Linked DNA regions of Oryzias latipes. The protein of the gene in region 2 interacts with the protein of the main gene of each other region in a pairwise test. Links are inferred from orthologs where the notes say so. Each region holds a gene or a part of one and is shown on either strand. Other genes may lie near its edges.

The links.
Region 1: the proteins of heat shock protein beta-1 (region 2) and pelo interact in binary tests that used the Homo sapiens proteins (3 or more experiments, as listed by UniProt). The link is inferred for Oryzias latipes from reciprocal best matches to the Homo sapiens genes HSPB1 and PELO.
Region 3: the proteins of heat shock protein beta-1 (region 2) and ppm1a interact in a two-hybrid assay, tested with the Homo sapiens proteins (2 studies listed by BioGRID and IntAct). The link is inferred for Oryzias latipes from reciprocal best matches to the Homo sapiens genes HSPB1 and PPM1A.
Region 4: the proteins of heat shock protein beta-1 (region 2) and wdr83 interact in binary tests that used the Homo sapiens proteins (3 or more experiments, as listed by UniProt). The link is inferred for Oryzias latipes from reciprocal best matches to the Homo sapiens genes HSPB1 and WDR83.
Region 5: the proteins of heat shock protein beta-1 (region 2) and fxr1 interact in a two-hybrid assay, tested with the Homo sapiens proteins (2 studies listed by BioGRID and IntAct). The link is inferred for Oryzias latipes from reciprocal best matches to the Homo sapiens genes HSPB1 and FXR1.

Annotation. Positions count from the first base shown.
Region 1 is NC_019877.2:7,509,325-7,512,561, forward strand, and holds part of pelo (protein pelota homolog), read right to left. Parts: intron 2,119-3,237; coding exon 2,058-2,118; intron 1,951-2,057; coding exon 1,789-1,950; intron 1,694-1,788; coding exon 1,647-1,693; intron 966-1,646; coding exon 892-965; intron 819-891; coding exon 747-818; intron 342-746; coding exon 267-341; intron 1-266. UniProt on the Homo sapiens protein: Component of the Pelota-HBS1L complex, a complex that recognizes stalled ribosomes and triggers the No-Go Decay (NGD) pathway.
Region 2 is NC_019870.2:13,682,171-13,685,339, forward strand, and holds heat shock protein beta-1, read right to left. Parts: upstream 1,792-3,169; 5' UTR 1,599-1,791; coding exon 1,226-1,598; intron 1,157-1,225; coding exon 1,093-1,156; intron 1,001-1,092; coding exon 841-1,000; 3' UTR 517-840; downstream 1-516. UniProt on the Homo sapiens protein: Small heat shock protein which functions as a molecular chaperone probably maintaining denatured proteins in a folding-competent state. Plays a role in stress resistance and actin organization.
Region 3 is NC_019880.2:12,126,101-12,130,153, forward strand, and holds the start of ppm1a (protein phosphatase 1A), read right to left. Parts: upstream 2,815-4,053; 5' UTR 2,518-2,814; exon of another isoform or gene 2,419-2,517; 5' UTR 2,401-2,418; intron 589-2,400; 5' UTR 572-588; coding exon 1-571. UniProt on the Homo sapiens protein: Enzyme with a broad specificity. Negatively regulates TGF-beta signaling through dephosphorylating SMAD2 and SMAD3, resulting in their dissociation from SMAD4, nuclear export of the SMADs and termination of the TGF-beta-mediated signaling.
Region 4 is NC_019859.2:27,121,517-27,125,342, forward strand, and holds the end of wdr83 (WD repeat domain-containing protein 83), read left to right. Parts: intron 1-125; coding exon 126-174; intron 175-407; coding exon 408-534; intron 535-615; coding exon 616-683; intron 684-1,864; coding exon 1,865-1,973; intron 1,974-2,656; coding exon 2,657-2,771; intron 2,772-2,911; coding exon 2,912-3,067; 3' UTR 3,068-3,313; downstream 3,314-3,826. Other genes in the region: pspn (persephin), read right to left, coding at 3,782-3,826. UniProt on the Homo sapiens protein: Molecular scaffold protein for various multimeric protein complexes. Acts as a module in the assembly of a multicomponent scaffold for the ERK pathway, linking ERK responses to specific agonists.
Region 5 is NC_019862.2:18,754,732-18,759,038, forward strand, and holds the start of fxr1 (fragile X mental retardation syndrome-related protein 1), read right to left. Parts: upstream 2,803-4,307; 5' UTR 2,759-2,802; coding exon 2,708-2,758; intron 1-2,707. UniProt on the Homo sapiens protein: mRNA-binding protein that acts as a regulator of mRNAs translation and/or stability, and which is required for various processes, such as neurogenesis, muscle development and spermatogenesis.

The DNA.
Region 1 (3,237 bases), on a different chromosome or scaffold from region 2:
GATGGACCAAAGTCCAAGTGTCCTAGTATCATTTTATTATTGTTTAGGATTGTTTTGTTCTCAAATTCCTAATTTTTCAGTAATTTTTGAGCAGGTTTTTAGGAACTTCCTATGTTTTCCTTTTCCATTTTGTTACACATAGAACAGCTGAAAATAAAAGAAACCACTCTAAAAACAAAGTGGGGCTTGAACATAAAACCAATGTTGCAGATAAAATTCAGAAATGCTGGAAGCAGAAATATTAGTGTCCTTGAATCAAAAGTTACCTGACAGTTCCTCCGTTGTCTCTCACGCTGTCAACAAGCCGGACGTAACGACTCCTGGTGGGAACGTCCTGATGCCTGCAACCAAAAAAAAAAAAAAAAAAAAATCAGACTTAAAGTGGGTCAGGAGGTTTAGCAGGTCGTCCAATATTCGAAGGGTCGGCGGTTCGATCCCTGCTCCCCCCAGTCATTTGTCGTTGTGTCCTTGGGCAAGACGCTGCCTCCAGTGTTGCTCCACTGGTGTGTGAATGCGTATGAATGTCCCGGCGATGGTCAGAGGGACCATAGGCGCAAACTGGCAGCTACGCCTCTACTAACACCAAGTATACATGAGTGAATAAATAATGGACACATTGTAAGCGCTTTGTGCGTCTGGATAAATCTAATCCATTATTATTATTATTAAAGGGTTAAAGTTCATTTCATACATTACAACTTTAACAGACAATATGTAACGTTTGTTCTGTATTTGGCAAAACTCACCTGAATAACTTATCGCTTATCAACAGAGTGTCAACGGCCAACGCGTCCGCAGCTTTCTCCACGTGAGCGACTCTGCAGTGAGAGAGAGAGGCTTGTTATTGTAGGATCTCTGTTGTTGTGGTTCTTCTGGTGCGTCATCTCTCACCCGTAGAACGCTCTGTTGGGCTCATGCTGAAGCATCTTGTAGAAGTCCTCCAGAGCTTTCACCTCTCCTGCTGCCTGAGGGTTACATGTAGAGAAAACCGTTTGTACGACTGAATAGGTCAAAAAGATTGGGTTCAAACCACAAATCCTCCCTTTGAGCAAGAGCTTCGACTCAATCAATTTGGCAAATTGTATTCTTTTTAATATGTATATTATTCCTACACCTATAACATCAAAGGATTGGCAAAAATAGTGACATGAAAAATAATATTTAAAAATATTAAACAGGTACAAATAAAATGTATTCTGTGGCTCTAAGCTCATTTTTTTTTAAATCTTTTCCTTCCGAATCCTTGGATAGAAAAAAAGCACTAAAAACTTTCAAACCTCCATAAATGATACATGTAAGAGGTACAAATGAATGTAACATAAAGAACATAGGCAGACAGCACTAAAATGTATATTAATTATTTTAAAAGATGCATTTTAAACTGTTAACTAAATTTGAAATATGTGATACATTAACAAGAATGTCACAAAAGTTCACAACTAGTTTAGAAATATAAATACAGTATTTTACTGTCATATTAAGACTTTGTATGTATACTCATTCCACATTTTCCTGGCTTTATTTCTGAAGTAATATGAACTTTTCTGTGCCATGACCCTGTGCTGTATCTCCCTTTTTTATTTCATCTGTTGTGTTTGTCTTCTAAGTTAATAGATGAGGCTGATGGATCACTGAAGTGCGATCACCTTGGTGTCAGAAAGCCGACTTGTCACAGTGGGGTCACAAAGGATTTCTGCAAAGCAGCAAATATTTAAATACACTTAAGACATTTTGGATTTATTTTCTTTATTATTTAATTTATTTAATTTTAGGTGAAGGAGCTCCTACCTTTGAGTGAATACTTATGACCTGATGATGAGTGGACGAGCATGAATTTGGGCCGGTTCTCCAGCAGGAGCTTGTTGTCCTGCCGCACGGCTTCCTTGAACATGTAGGAGATGAACTGGTCCTTCACAAAACCAGGACTGCCAACCAGGATACACTTCACCACTAAACACAGGAAGGAAAGAGTTCCAATAGACACTCATTTCTTTCTCAGACAACCTGTAAATATAACAAAAACACTGCATTTCTATTACTGTGTGCGACTGTCTTACCATCAAAATTGATGTGGCGGAGGATGGCCTGCATCACAGCCTCATAGAACCTCTCCAGCGCCTGCAAACAGGTGAGCTTAAGGTCAAACTGCTACCAACCTACATCTGAGTCCCACTGATTTACCACAGAATTGAGGGGGTTGTATCTTTTTTTTCTAATCTGGTAAATGTGAACAATTTTTTTTAAAGATATCAATTATACTGATCTTATACAAACTTAAAAAAATACTTCATTACGCAATGAAAAGAGAGAATTTACAAGAAGAAAATCCTGATCATTACAGAAGTAACTTCACTCTAGTATTAGTTTAGTTCCTTCTGCATCTGCTTTAGTTGTATCGTACTTCAAACGTTGGAGAAAATGATTACGTCTGCATGCCTGAAGATGCCCACCAGAAAACTAACAGCAGGTTTTTTTTTTCACTATAGCAATATTCCAGAACAAAGTCCCATTTTCTTCACTGTAGTTCAGGCTGAGGTTTCACTAATCCCTCTTAAGTAAGCAAACAAAAATGAATTCAGGTTCAGAACCGACCACCAGCATGGTTCCGTTGGGTGCAGAATAGCAAACCATAATTTTTAGTAGTCTGATTTGCTTTTACACTGCACTTTTGAAATCAAACTGAATGGAGCGGAGCAGGGAGCTTGTGGTTTGCATGTTATATTTTGGTGTGGTGGTATTTTCTACATCACACCTACAACCTTTTTCAAACTGCATTTTTCTGTCTGCTCCTGATTCACAACTCTTTGAATAAAGAAATACTTAAAAATGCTATTTTAAGCTGAATTTTCTTTATCTATGTCATAGAAACATGTTAAAAACACCAACAAAAAAAATCAATTTCCATCTGAGTGGGTATTTAATTATAATAAGAGAATTTTTAGATGTAAAGTTGACATGTAAGTTGGGGTTAATTAAAAATCCTACCTATAACTTTAAAAATGTATACAGCTGCATGCTGTATTTCAAATTAATCACAAATGTACTTCCTCACCTGTCATCAAACTTAAAGCTATATATACCAATAAACATGAATGCTATGAGTGGCAGTCTTTTATGGTAAGAAGGCTGTATTATCTGGCTGGGATTCATTGTTGTTTAATGGGAAGTGCTGATGTGTTGTTCCTGGTTACTGTCAGTCAGTCATAAGTTTGCTCATATTCATCACAATATGATCCA
Region 2 (3,169 bases):
GACCTTTTGTACTTAAAGAGAACTTTAAAGGGGGGGGAAAGAGCAAAACTAATTTAATTTTAAGTTTGTCTTTTTATTAATATTAGATTTGTTTTATTTTTGTTTTATATAACTTTGGAGTGCTGTCTCCATTTCCCCCAAATTAAGGTAGAGTTTTTAAGAGGTAAAAAAATTAAGTTAAGTCTTTAAATCTTTATTAAATTTGCAGTTAAAACTGTTTTACAAGGTAATGATATAATATTTTCAGAAACCTCGTACAAACAATATCATACTTCACACCGTTTTAAATTTAGTAACAGTAAATTTTTGCTGCACAGCTACAAAAAGACTTTTTTTGTCTATTCTTTTTTCCGTGTCCTTGCCTAAAATATTGATCCTTACAATATACTGTTAGTTATTATGGGTTGTAAAAAATTGGTGACCTCTGACCTGTTTTTAGGTGTAAGTTTTCATGTTAAAAAAAAGTTTGAGCTGCAAGAATGAATATTGTGACAAAACCACAATCTGTGAAAGAAATGTATTTTTACCAAATTTTATTTCTGTTTCATTGTGAAGGCTGAAATTGCATAATACAATCATTCTACAAGAACAGTAAGATAAAGACCAGTTTATAGTAAACAAAATTTTAGTGCAAAATTACAAAATTAAAAAGGACAGCAAGGGTTTGTTTTATTGGATCCAATACCATTTCTGCTTTTTATTAAGTTTAAATTAGATTATAAAAGTCTCAAATCTCCCAAAAAGCAAATGATAACATTAAATTTAAGCAATCTAGTCTGCTTTGTGTAATTTTAATAATTGCTGCTATGCACAGTTTGAGCTACTTTCTGCTCACTATGTTCATTTCTCACTGTCCTGTGTCTTTTTGGTCTGAACGGGGATGACGATCTCATTGTCCGGGCTGCTGATGGATGTTCCTGGGACGGGAGCTTCTACGGACAACATTCCTTCTGAGGACAGGGATGAGCTGATGTGCTGCAGATTCACCCCTTGTGGTAACCTCGAAAAAAATGAGAGAACGTTTGTCACAAACAGAAATATGTTACGGTCGCATCCTAAATGTGTCTCGAATTTGCTTCTCAGCCTCCTTACTTGTATTTACGAGTGAAACATCTTGAAACCAAACTGTGTTCATCTTGCTTTTCTTCATGAGTTCCTTAAAAAAAACAGTAATTATTAATAAACATCTTTATGTATAAAATGAAAAAAAATTAAGCCTACGTACCTGATATTTGCAAGTAGCCATCCTTTGTGCTGATGGAGATCTCTTCGGGTGAAAAATGATTGACGTCCAGGTTGATCTTCCAGCTGTTTTGCCCCGTTCTCACCTCAGACACACCGCTAGTCAGTTGTCTCAGACTCTTCTGGTCCGGCGTGATGGGAGGCAGGAGGGGGCTTTGCGTGTAACCCGGCCAGGAGAAAGAAGCCAGTCTCTTTTTTGCCCAGTCAAGCCAGTCCAGATCATTGGGCTCCAGGAAAGGAGGAATGCCGAAGTCCTGGGCAAAAATACGGCTTGGCTGAGTCCAGTTTGGGAAAGGATCCCAGCGGACATCTCGACGGAATATGGGCCGGGATAGTGTTTTATTTTGATCACCCATGTGGTTCAAAACTCAAGAAAAGGAGACTGAAAATAAAAGCTCTTGCTCCCACCTGACAGAAAAATGCAAGACGAGATCAGACCAACCAAAACGAAACTCAAAAACTGTAAGTAAGCAGGAGGTTTGGGGAAAAGCCTATTTTGGAGTCCGCAGCAATCCACTCACACGCTTTATATAACCAACGGCCTCCTCTTCACACTTGTGCTTTAACAAGTGTGATGTAAGGGATGAAATGTGATGGGCCGGGGCGTCAACTCTCCTGTTGCCCTGGGACTCGGAGAGGACAATGCCAATTATGTGTATTTATATCTTTTGAGTGTCTCCGGTAAGTTGTTGGGGAATGATTCTGGAAGCAGGGAGAAGTCGTGTCATTCAGCCATGGCCTCTGCAGTCCCGTCACATACTGGAGCTCTTTGTCCACCGAAACCACAGCTGCATGTGAAGCAGCACACAAAAAGTCAAACGGTAAACACAAGCGTTGCTTTTAGCCTCCCAACTTAACTTAAGAGCAAAACTGCAGAGCAAACAGGATCTCAGGGTGAAGAAGATAAAGACGTGTTTACAGCTGGTAAAAACAGATGGAGAGAAAGACTATGGAGTTCTGGAGCTGGTGTGGAATTTCACAGAAACATCTTCATGGGTTCAAAAAATAAACCGAGCTTGAGTGAGATAAATTATCTGAGGAATGGCATTTATCAGGGAGGCAACGTGAATATTTCTGAACTCTGCTCATAAACATTTCATTGTTTATCAGGTTTTAATGTTTGACACACCAGGTTACAACAGACTTGATGTCAGTCTGCTTAAGAATGTTATTAAGCACATGTTAAAAGAAAATATTGCCTGAAGTTTAGCTGTGCTATTGCTAGTTTACTAATGAATATAAAAAAGTCTAAAGTGTGCAATCAATGAAAATATGAGCATAGATCAGTTTAAAGGTGTTTTAGGGTCATCGAAAGGAAAACGCTCTTCAGTTGTAAATCCAAAAATTCTTGGAAATAACCCAGAGTTAATGTGTGTGATAAGAAACCAAATAAAGTGAATATACTGTAACATTTTACTGTAGCTCACAAGTGCATTGGCCTCTGTAAAATAGTGTTATCATCCAGCTAATATGTATTTGTGCATTTGTGTGCAATACTTATGGTTAAGGTTAGGGTCAAAGTAAGGGCAAACTTCACTAAAGTTTATTTTACAAGCTTTGCATAAGTGTCTTAAATTGCAGAGTGTAAAAAAACTGGTAGATATACATATAGCAGCCAGATGCTAATGATGTGATGGATTGGCAATGTGCAAATACCTATTTTGATGTCAAACATTAGATGGAATCCGTTTTTTATCACTTAAAAATTAAAAAGAATACACTTTCTACTAATCAAAAAAAGGCCAAAAAAAAAGCTGGAATTTTAAAGGTTAGTGCATCAATACAATGTTATGATTTTATAAAGGAAATTTTCATTTGAATTTGAACTTCAAACCATCAGAAACTAACTTATTTTATTCTATCCTGTGTTTTGTGTTTTCCCAAAATTCAAAGTCACCAGAAAGTTTAAGTTATTAACAGCCACAGC
Region 3 (4,053 bases), on a different chromosome or scaffold from region 2:
TAACACGCTGGATCATGACTGAGCCACCAGCATTCTGGATCCTTTCCTTCTCTAGTGGGTTGCTTGGCTTGTGATCCTCTGTGAAGAATTTCACCAATCCACTCCTGCTAAGGATTCCACGCGAGTCCCCACAGTTAATGAAGTACAAATGGCTTGGAGAAATCATCACCCCTACAGCGGTGGAGCCACTGCGGTCATTACTATGCTTCTTTTCAGACAAGTTTCGTATGTGTTCGTCAAACATCAAGAATCCAGAGCGGATGCCATCCTTAACTTTATCCACCGTGCTTTCAGATTTCTCCTTCAGAGCACTCTGGAAGCCTTGGCTACTAGTGATGTGCTCTAGCAGGTGCTCACAGCAGTACTTGGCCACCTGAGAGCCAGCATGCCCATCATATACAGCAAAAAATGACCAGCACTGAAGAGGCGAAGGCAAACTAACTACTGCTGTGTGCGCATCTTCCATCTCAACCCGCCATCCCTGCATGCTGCTCAACCCAAACCTTAGCTCGTTTCCCTCCCCAGAGTTGTTATGTTTTTCCATCTTTGGTTTGTCCAGAAATGCACCCATTGTGTCACCCTGAAAGCCTGTTAACAAAAAGGTAAAAGAAAAATATCTAGGTAAGACATTTCAGGAATAAACAGTCAAAAGCAGCAATCTGAAGAGTATAAACACCCAATCTATTATTGTTCAATATTCTAATAGACCTTGATTAATAGATCTAAGTTGTTATCATGAAGCACTATGGTGCATTTGCCATTTTGAGGAGTTGTCCGGCTCTACAAAATCGAGTGCCCCTTAAATTTTCCAGGTCTCTGCAAAAAACCAGTGTGCATCAATGCTCACTAGATTGGTGAATCTACATCACAATACAATGAGTTTGAACAACTTTTCATGTGGAAAAGAGAACTCTCTTTATTTTTTATAAACTATACAGGTTCCATAATCAGAACACAATGGATTCATAAATAGTCTTTGTAAAATGTTCATATTTATTCGATTTTTACTTCGGGAAATCGTTGAAACCATATCTTCCATTGCAGAAGGAAAAAAATGGAGAGCGTGGTGTCCGAATTGCTTTTAAAATCCAGGGCAATAGATAGTCTTGCACGGTTTTAGCAGTTGGGGAGCATGGAGAGAATTTAGACAAAACCCAGTTTTTTTTAAAGAAAAAATTGTTTTTTAACGTGTACAAGTATTAAAGTATGACCAACTAGGTTTCTTTACGTTTAATCAAAAAGAAGAACATTCATTTATAAAAACAACAAAAAGGAAGTAAAAACATATCTTTGCTGTAAAGCCTCACAGTTTGGATGAAATAAATTACCATAAAAATCTATACTGTGATTAATATGAACCCAAAACGAGACTAAATGGTCTGACACCATTCAAATACTTAAACACAATAAAAAATTGACAAATACCAATAACATTAAATCTTCATAAAGCAGCCTATAAGTATTATAAATATTGATTGTTTATGACATTCCGTGCTGCTAAATAAAAGAAAAGTGAGCAGTGGATTCTAAAAATAAATTATTTTTAAAATTGATAAAAATTTAAAAAACAAATAAAAACACATTTTACTGTACAAAATTATCATGAAATCAAAGACTTACACTTTACTTAAAGCCATGCAAATTTAAAAATGTTCACAGGCAAGTTACAACGTTTAGTCATCATCAGGTTAATATCAGGTCATAAAACCTAGGATTAGAATCTTAAAGCTGAGTTTAGGTCCTTACTCTGAAACATAAATAGAAGACCAGTGAATATGTTTTGGATATGTATTTAGAACGTTATTCGTTTCAAGTGAATTAAAACGCCTTATAGCACTGGTTTAAGTTCTAAGACAACGGTACAGAAACGAAATTATAAATGTGTCAATGCACGTTTCTGACCTTCGTATTTTAAACACCCCAGCACTGGTTAAACTGGTTAATTCAAGTAAAAGCACAGTTTGATGCCTAAAGCTAAATAATCCCAGCTTTACCTGTGTGACCAGTTTCTCAAAAAGAACTACCAAGCTCAACCTTTGACAAAATGTTACACTAATGCTAATGCTGAAGTTACATGGCTAGTTAGTAGCATGCACTTGCGTTGCTCAGTGCGTATCTGTTTTAAGTTTTAGGCGTTGGTTTACAGCGGGTAGTTAAATTTGTATGGACCGGTCTCATTTGGTACTCAAACACCCTTGCCTAATTGAGGGCCTTGACCCTTGTGCCCCAAAGCTAACTACAACAGCCTACTTTCATGTTTTGCTAAAATGTTAAAAGGCGAGCAAAGCCGTCGGCCTTGCTAATCTACCATCGGTATGCTAACTTAGCATTGATAGCTCACAACACTTATACCTTTAACAGTACTTTTGAAACCGAGTAAACATTATACGACTTACTTACCAAATATCAGGACAGCCGCTGGAAGTGAAAAAAATTGCGACAAAAATAAGATCCAGGAGATTGTAGTATTCGGCACAAAATGTACAACGCTAAAAACAGGGTTTTGCGGTAGTTTACCTTAGCTAGCTAGCCTATAGCTAGCAATAAGAAGTCGTCACTCAAGATTCTGTATAAACAGTGGTAATGCGGCGGTCCCCTTTTGCGCGCACCCGCAAAGCATCACATTATCTCGTGTGGCGAGTAAACAAATTCTTCAATTTTTCGTATGTAAGGGATTGGGAGAACGAAGCTTTGCACAGCTAAGCCCAGGGAGGCTGAATCGTCTATTCCTGTCTCTCCACTTGACAGGTTTGACAGCTTGCTAGCCACCGTTAGCTTCTAGGAAGCAACGAGTCAGAGGCAGGACCCGGATGTTGCAGGCTGCGTATTTGAAAAACATGACATCATTCCTGAAGAGATGTGTCTTGCTGCACACACATGCGCACAAAGCATTATACAACAAAGTGGGTTTTGAATTATGGTATGAAATAGAGGTCCGTACCAAAGAAATAGTGGTTAAAAAAATCTCTACATATTTCTAGTGTCGGTTTTCTCACCGCGGAATGGATTATAGATTTTAGACTTTTTAGATTTGTGTTAATTTATTGGTTCTATTGCAACATGTGAACTTACATTATTCATAGTAAGGAAAATTACACCCGTATGCAGAAATATACATTTTTAAAGGACAAAAATTAAATGTGAGAATGATGTGCTGACAAATAAATAAATACTGTTTTCCAAAAAAATACACATGAAAGGCTTAAAATAATAAAAAAAATGAAAGGTGTATAAAGATAATTTTTCTCCATTTTTGAACCAATCATTTGATCACTTGATTTGCAGAGCACCCTTTGTCATCATGCAGAACACAACGTGCTTTAAGTAAAAGACGTAAACAAATGTTACAACAGTAAGAAGTCGTAAACACGCCAAACTAAAAACAAGAAGAGAAACATTAAATAGTAATAGTGACTAATAGTTATTGTTTCAAGTATTGCTTGAGTTATTATTATTATTTTCTAATTTTTCCATTAGTTATTAATGCATTTATTTATTTATTTTCCCACAAATAAGATGGTAATGCATAGCTTGAAACTATATTCTTAAAAATTGTAACTTACCTGCTCATTAGTTGAATAAGCATTTTTTCAAATGTAGAAATTTTCTGTCATACACATACTGCCACAACAAATATTTACTGAAACATGGTGTATTTACAAAGGAATATCCAAACATAGCCTAAAGTAAGGAAAGAAAGTTGCCCATAGATGGCACAAGAAATTTATTGTAAAATGAGTTTTAATATAAATTGAACTGTCCTTTAGTTCAGAATGTCTGCAATAAAAGGAAGAAATTTTAATTTATGTATTTTTTAACAATGAGTGATCTAAATTTAAAGCTTTTAGAAAAAGATCAATTAATGCTTTTATTCATTATTTAAGCAGTGATTACTATTTCTTTACGTCCTTTGTCCCCCTGAATGATCTCTGCATCTTAAAGAATATACCCTAGCTGTTGATCACGTGCACTGGATTTTTCCTGTTCCATCCTGGAAAGTTTTATGATGTCCAAGCCTCCATTGACTTTTCCTTAAAGTACTGTTACAGGTAT
Region 4 (3,826 bases), on a different chromosome or scaffold from region 2:
CATCGTAATTTTTTGTTTGTTTTTTGGTTTATTTGAAACACAGTTTTCTCGCCTTTAGGGGTCTCTCCATACTCCTGCTTCCCTCTTTACATTTGTAATGTCTTATTTCATCCTTCCTTCTGCAGAAAGTGAACTGTGTCCAGTTCAATGAGGAGGCAACTGTCACCTTGTCTGGTAAGAAATCACTTACCGGTACACAACTGTAGTTTAACAATCAGCGCAATATTTCAGCACCAGACAGCTGTTCTCTGTTGCCCCAAAGTGCTGAAGAGAAGAGAAGAGAATTTAGAGGAGTGACCTTAAAGCAAAAAACATAATCAACAAACAAATACAACAAAATTAATGTTATACCCGTATTTTTGCCCCCCATTTCATTGTCACATGCTGCTTGTTCTCACTTTACGTAGGATCCATAGATGGGACAGTGAGGTGCTGGGACAACCGATCAAGAAAATCGGAGCCCATCCAGATCTTAGATGAGGCTCGTGACGGCATCAGCAGCCTCAAAGTGGTTCAGCATGAGCTGCTCACTGGGTCAGCCAAGAATGATCACAGAAGCTCATGATTATCACCTAAGTCAACCGTTTACTAACCCTAGAAAACGTCTTTGGTTAGGTCAGTGGATGGCAGGGTGAGGCGCTATGACCTGAGAATGGGACAGCTGCATGTGGACTTTATTGACAGTAAGAGGTTTTTTTCTCTTTTACAGAAACTGCAAAAGATTCTGTGTTTATTGCAGTTCAGTTTGTTGAGGTAAATGTGGTAAGTTAATGCCTTAGTCACATACAGCCATATGGGTGATGCAGGTGTTTGGGTTGTCTGGATACGTGGAGTGTCATAGACAGGTGCGGCCGCATGTTACAGGTAACGCAGGTTAGTCCTGCAGTCCTGTACGTTCAGAATGTACGATTGCCGGCCTGTGTTAAGTGTATCCTGAAGTATTTGTAAAGATAATGTAAGTTGCACGCACCTATAAAAATAATAATAATATAATACTACTAATAATAATACACTTTATTTGTATAGCACCTATCAAGATAAAAATCACAAAGTGCTTCACAGTAAATCACAATAAAACAGTAAAATACGATAAAACACAATAAAACACAGTAAAACACAGTAAAACGCAGAAACTAAAACATAATTAAGAAAAAGCAATTTTAAAAAGATAGGTTTTTAGCACCTTTAGTTTTTAACCGGTTTCGTTTAACAACCAGCAGACCTGCTGGGGGTGTACGGCTGCAAAAGGTCTTTTAAGTAGACCGGTGCTTGGCTATTAAGAGCTGTTTATCTTAAAACCAGGATTTTAAAATGCACTCGGTAGCGGATGGGGAGTCAGTGCAGCTGGATTAACAACGGGGTGACGTGTGAACACTTAGATGATTTAGTTAAAGCCTTGCAGCAGCGTTCTGGACAGCCTGGAGCCGTCCTAAAGATGATGCAGTAACCTATGATGTATTGGTGATGCTGTCGTGTGGTGCCCTTTCTAGTGAAACCACACGACAGCATCATGACAGAGTCTAGTCATTAGTAAGTACTGACCACATGCAAATGCTGCTTGCAAATGCTGCTTGCACGAGATGTGCATGTGTTTTGTTTGTACGTATGTATTATCTTCATTTCCAACAACATCCGCATTTTAATTACTTCACCCACTCACTTACCCTTACATGTTGAATAAGTGTTTGCTACGACTTAAAAATTAAATTAAAATTTCCAATGGGCCACCTGTATTCCCTGTACAGGTTTGACCATTTTTGCCCACAGACAGCCCATATCTACCCATAAGGGCAGTTGTGGCTAAGGCAGAAGCGAACACGTTACACTTTTCTATATTAAGCATGTTTCTGTCTGTACGTTCCAGGTCCCATCACCTGTGTGTGTTTCAGTCAAGATGGTCAGTGCACCCTGAGCTCCAGCTTGGACTCTGCAGTTAGACTGCTGGACAAAAGCACGGGGGAAATGCTGGGAGAGTGAGTTCCAAAAAACAGAATTCACGTCCACAGTGTTTTTGTCAGTGTGCAAATAATGACATTATAAAATTAACAAACACTCATTTATAAATCATCTTTCAAAAGTAAAATTAAGAATAAAAGTAATGTAAAAATAATAAAATCTACTAAGAACCAATGTTTTAGAAAAACTGCATGAAATTACAACTGGAAATTGTTTTTGCTGTTATCAATGACACACTTTAAACCCCTGAAATGTATTTTGTGTTTTTGCTTTTAAGTAGATGCTAAATTATATAATTTTGGAACAGAGTTGGTTTAATGTATATTTTCTTCCAGGGCTTTAAAATTAAACCCAGCCACTCACCAAATGCACATAAAACCTTAATTTGGCGTGTAGGAAAATAAATTCACTAGCCACTTTGGCAGGTGAGACACTGATTATCATTTCTGACGGGGGCTCAACTTGCATCAGGACTTTTAAGTGTCCGGCTCGGGTTGGCTGGGTGGGGGATTGATGATTTTTTTAAAGTTTTGTGTGAAATCTGAAGCAGAATTTCTGAATTGAGAAAAGTTGTGTTTAGGTTGTAATAGTAGTACCTTTATTTATCCAGGTGTTTAAGAACAAGATATTTTGTTTTTTACAAACATTGCCGTGAAGTAAATTCTTTGTTGTGATGTGTCACTGATGGTTGTTGGTGTAGATATAAAGGCCACAAGATGAAGGGCTACAAGCTGGACTGCTGTTTGTCGAACAGAGACACACACGTCTTGAGCTGCTCAGAGGACGGCCATGTGTACTGCTGGGACCTGGTGGAGGTGAGTGTTCATCAGAGTCACCGCATTTCCCACTGCTGTATTTGATCAAATATGAGCAGTAGTTTTTCAATCTAATAGCACATTAAAGTAGAAACAAAAGAATCCCAAAAAGCTTGTTTTTTTCTTTCCTACACTTTAAGGGTTCTTTGTCTTTGAAGCTGCTGGTGGGGACAGCAGTTGTCCAGTCCTTGTCCTTCCATCCATCAGAGACCCGCCTTCTCACAGCTATGGAGGGCCGTGTTCAGGTGTGGAGTGCAGAGCCAGAGGAGACGGAGGATGAAGCGCCGCTCTTATAAAAGCATGAATGGAGCCACGACACAGTTGTGTATTTGACTGCAGCGCTCAGTTTTTGCATCAGCACACATGCAGCTGCTGCAGAGTTTCAAACAATGTCGATTTTCAACTGTTGGATGTTGGGGAGCTTTTACTCTCCTGACAAACATTATTGGACTCGAGCTTTACTAATAACTTTGTAAATGTTGGCTGAGTAACTTTTGAGATATTTTGTACATTAAACAGACTCACAAAGACTGTAAAAAAAAGTTTATTTTTATGGACTCTACACACACTGTAGAAAATAAATTAATCCGCAAGTCCAAAAACATTTAAATAAATAAATAGAATTATTTTACAAAAATATTTTGTTGTTTTTTAAGTCTTTCCAGCAAAGACTAAGTCTACAACATTTTTTAAAACACTACCACGGTTTCATAGCTTCAAGATTACACTGGAGAGCTTAACTTAATACTTCATCATTCTACATCAAGTTTTTTTTCTTTATTCAAACAAAATCAAGTGTTTTTTTTCATTATCATGTTTCCACTAACCCTCATTTAATGTGCCAAAATGTAACTAAAAAGTCTTTCTGGTCATCAGCTCTTTTGTCAGGCCGTCTGTCTGACCCGAATTCCTCAGATTTTCCTTCCAAAGTGGCCGAAAAAGTAACATTTTAATATCATCTTAGTTTTGAGCACCTGCCCTCTCACCTCCCCACTCATTGTCCAACGGTCTTAGCCCACACAGCTGCAGCCCGCAGCAGACAGCTTCTCCACCTT
Region 5 (4,307 bases), on a different chromosome or scaffold from region 2:
CATAGGTCAACCGCCCTACCACTGGACCACAGTCGCCATTAACGCCACATGAATGGTGAGATTTTGGGCAAAGTCGTCCTTCCATCAACATCATAATTGACTATTAAATATATCTGGATCCATCGGCCTGTCAATGCCAAACACGTGGCCCAGGCAATAAAGGAGTGGCTATGTAAAAAGTATCTCAACGTTCTGGAGTGGGTTAGTCCAATAGACCCAACCCAATACAGAATCTTTGGAATGAGTTGAAAGTCTTTGTTGCACAGTGACAGCCCCAGAACATCACAGCTCTTGAGAAGATCTACACTGACAAAATGTGTATAAATATCAGCTACAGTGCTTACCAACCTGCAGAAGACCTACAGGAAACATTTGATATCCATCATTGATAACAGGATTACAAAAAGCATTGAGGTGAACTTATGACTTTTCTCATCTTTTTAAGAGGGACAACTTGCTCCCAACTACCAAATAAGTTTTTGCCTCACTGTACATAGTCCAAACTTCTGAGAACAGTCCTCCCATTTGTTAAAAATATCCTTACCAGAAACCCAGTTCAGTATACCTATTGGAAATGACAAGCTGACATTGAATCACTAGCTTAACATTTATCTTGTGTTATGTATGGGTTAACAGACTTATCCAACTGTTATTTCATGAGTGGTCAATGATTCCCCTTATGGTCATGTAATGATCAGGTGTGGTGCAGTTCCAGCTCCTATAGCAGAACTTACCATGAACTTTTGTTCAAAAATAGTTTCATTTTTTTCCTTGCCTTTCTTTATGCTAATCAGCATCTGTTTTTATATTATTATTAGATTATCATAGAAAATGCAACAGATATGTATGTTTCCTCTAGATTCAAAACTTAGCTTTATAAAGTGGTTTTAAGCATTTGCCTAAACCATGATGTGCAGACACTATCTAGATCTTCCAGTAAAGAAAAGTAATAAACCATAGGGTAGACCGAAGGGTTTCGTTGAAGTGAAAAAAATGTAACAAGCTGTTTATCCCCTTAATCTTCACATTTTACTATCAGAGAAGACATTTACAGGCTCACAAAAACTACAAATGCCATAAAGTTACATAGAGACTTCTAAATTTTAACTTAGGATAAAAGGACATCAGTTAAACAAAAAAACGCAAGAAATATCCGAACAAAGTAATAATGGTAAACCTTAAATTCTGAATAAAATCTATTTATGACCCTTCTCACTGTTTTGACTTGTTCAGATTAACATCAATGTTACCAATCAGCTTCCCTACAATATCCAGGTAAAGAGTAAACACGTTTCTAATTTCTTTTTTTTAGTCTAACTGACAATCAAAGGCACATGGAGATGCTCAGAGGGTGCTTGATGGGACTTCAAGATATTTAAATTTACCCAAATGTCCCTCTTCCTTTGTTAGTTTGCTTAATATTTTGAAGGCATGATAAAACTCAAGAAAGTAACTGTTGCATGCTCACTCTTCTATCATTACATAGTTAACTCTGGGCTGGGTCTAAATAAACTTGAATTTGTCCCGACTCAAATGAATCTAAAAGTCATTTAAAAAAACACTTTAAAATGATATAATGGGACCACTACTTCACTTTTTTTCCACTTACTGTTTACAGACTAACACCACAACTTACAATCTATCGCTTATGTTTTCACTTCTTTCTTTTCAGAGTTCAGAAAGTCCCTACACAAGTATAAAAGGAGTCGAGTTACAATTAAATAAATAAATAAATAAAAAACTTGTTTTGCAACATCTATAGTGAAATCAAAACCCATTCTAATTATTATTCCTAGGAGATATTTGGAATCACAGTAACAAAACTCACAAAACATACCCACAGTTGCTTGGTTTAGCTGTAATTTACTCAAGTGAAACTATTTTAGCATGTAGTGTTGGTTTACAAAGTGGCCTGGCAAAAAGAAAACATGTTAAACATTATGCTAGTAGTAGTAAGAAATTAAAATAGTAGATGGGGGGGAAAGGATGATGAAAAAGGAGACATGGAAGGAAGAAAAGGGGAGACTTTGGTGCCACTTCAGATTGCAGGACTATAAATACACTGTAATTCTTTGAAATGAGCGACCCTCTCCCAGCATGCCAGCTGCTCAGGATTGACAAGGAACAGCTGACTCGCATACGCAGAAATAGTAAAGATAGCTTGGGCATGATACAGTCTCAGTGAATGAACAGTGGCAGACAAGTGTGAAGAAGTACGCCACGTGCATAGAAAACCTAACGTCGAGATTTCAAATCCCTAATATGTACATTTAACAAACTCATCACGTCCTTATGTTCCATGGAGTAAAAAGCCCTTTAGCAACCGAACTAGGGCAAGAACCTACCTGACGTCAACAGAATTACCAGTGAGCTAGTAAGCTAACTTTAGCTTACGAAAACCCGAAGAAAAAGTCCATTGTGTGTTAAAAGATACACTATAAAACAAGTCAGCTGTCTTACAAAACGGATTATGCTTTCTGGATTTGATTATAGTCAATATAATAATCATAAATAACGAATGTTCACAATCATCGACGTTAGCCTAGCCTGCTAATTTTGGCTAACTCTGCTAAAGGCTTACAGCAAGCAGCTGGATGAATTTAGAGGAAGATGGGACACGTAATCAAGTCCAATGAACTTAGGTTATCATAGTAAACAATTTGTGAAAGACAGAAGGTCAAAGGTGCACGGATGCCCCGGTATTTACCTTGTAATAAGCGCCGCGAGAGCCACGGACCTCCACCGCCAGTTCTTCCATATTGGATACGCAAAGGATGCTGGGTCGACAGGTGTTCCATCAAGCCTGAGGTTTGAAGTTTGGGCCAACACCTGTCCTTTCGCGTTTTTGTGGGCAGATACTCCCAACTTTAAAATTATTAACTTACAGCCAAATTACATTTTTGGGTTACTGTTTGTGAAAAGGATCAACAAGGTTTTGGACGATTTGTTGTCCTGTTTTTTTTTTTTGTTTGTTTGTTTTTTAATGTTAGAAAGCTACATTGCTGTGTTTTATTTAAGTAATTTTAGTGATGAAGCAATACAATAAAATAGATCTATTATTTAGTGTGAAATTTTATGCAGATTGTAATATAGCTAGATATAAAAAAAATTTTTTTAAAGCCATTATTGGACTAGCTAATTTGCTTAAGTATTTAGTATTTTGAAATTTTGTATTTCTTTTCACCTACACTCATCAGGATCCAAATCTTTAATACAACAGAATGATGTGGTTCAGTCTAGTATCTTGCATTAAAAAAAGGCTGTAAACACAGCAGGCTTACAGCTTTGATCAGCATCAACTGCACTAAAGAATACTAGAACACAGACTGGAAATTTGATCAATTCTTTATTGTGTGCTTTCTGATTTCAGCTTAGAGACTGTGCATTATAAACAGTGGTGAACAAAATTGTTGGTACCCCTCAGTTAAAGAAAGAAAGCCCACAATGCTCACTGAAATGACTTGAAACGTTCAAAAGTAACAATATATTAAAATTTGTTGAAAATTAAATAATCAAAATCAGCCATTGCTTTTGAGTCGTTGATTAATAGAATTATTTAAAAAAACAAACTAATGAAATAAGGCTGGACAAAAATGATCGTACCCATAACTCGATATTTTGTTGCACAACCTTTTGAGGCAATCACTGCAATTAAACAGTTTCTGCATTTGTCAATGAGCCTTCTGGACCTGTCCACAGGTATTTTGGCCCACTCCTCATGAGCAAAGTGCTCCAGTTGTCTCAGGTTTGACGGGTGTCTTCTCCAAATGGCATGTTTCAGCTCCTTCCACAGATGTTCAATGGGATTCAGGTCTGGGCTCATAAAACCATCTCTAAGCAGCTTGAAGTTCCTGTGACGACAGTGGCACATATTATTCAGAAGTTTAAGACCCACGGGACAGTAGCCAACCTCCCTGGACGTGGCCGGAAGAGGAAAATTGAAGACTAATTGAGGAGACGGATAGTTGGAACTGTATCCAAAGAGCCCAGAACAACCTCCAAAGACATTAAAGGTGAACTCCTAGATCAAGGTACATCAGTGTCAGATCGCACCATTCGTCGATGTTTGAGCCAGAGTGGACTACATGGGAGACGACCAAGGAGGACACCACTGTTGAAAGGAAATCATAAAAAAGCCAGACTGGAATTTGCAAAAATGCATGTTGACAAGCCACCAAGCTTCTGGGAAAATGTCCTCTGGACAGATGACACAAAACTGGGGCTTTTTGGTAAGGCACATCCGTTCTATGTTCATAGAGAAGCATACAATGAAAAGAACACTGTCCCTACTGTGAAACATGGAGGAG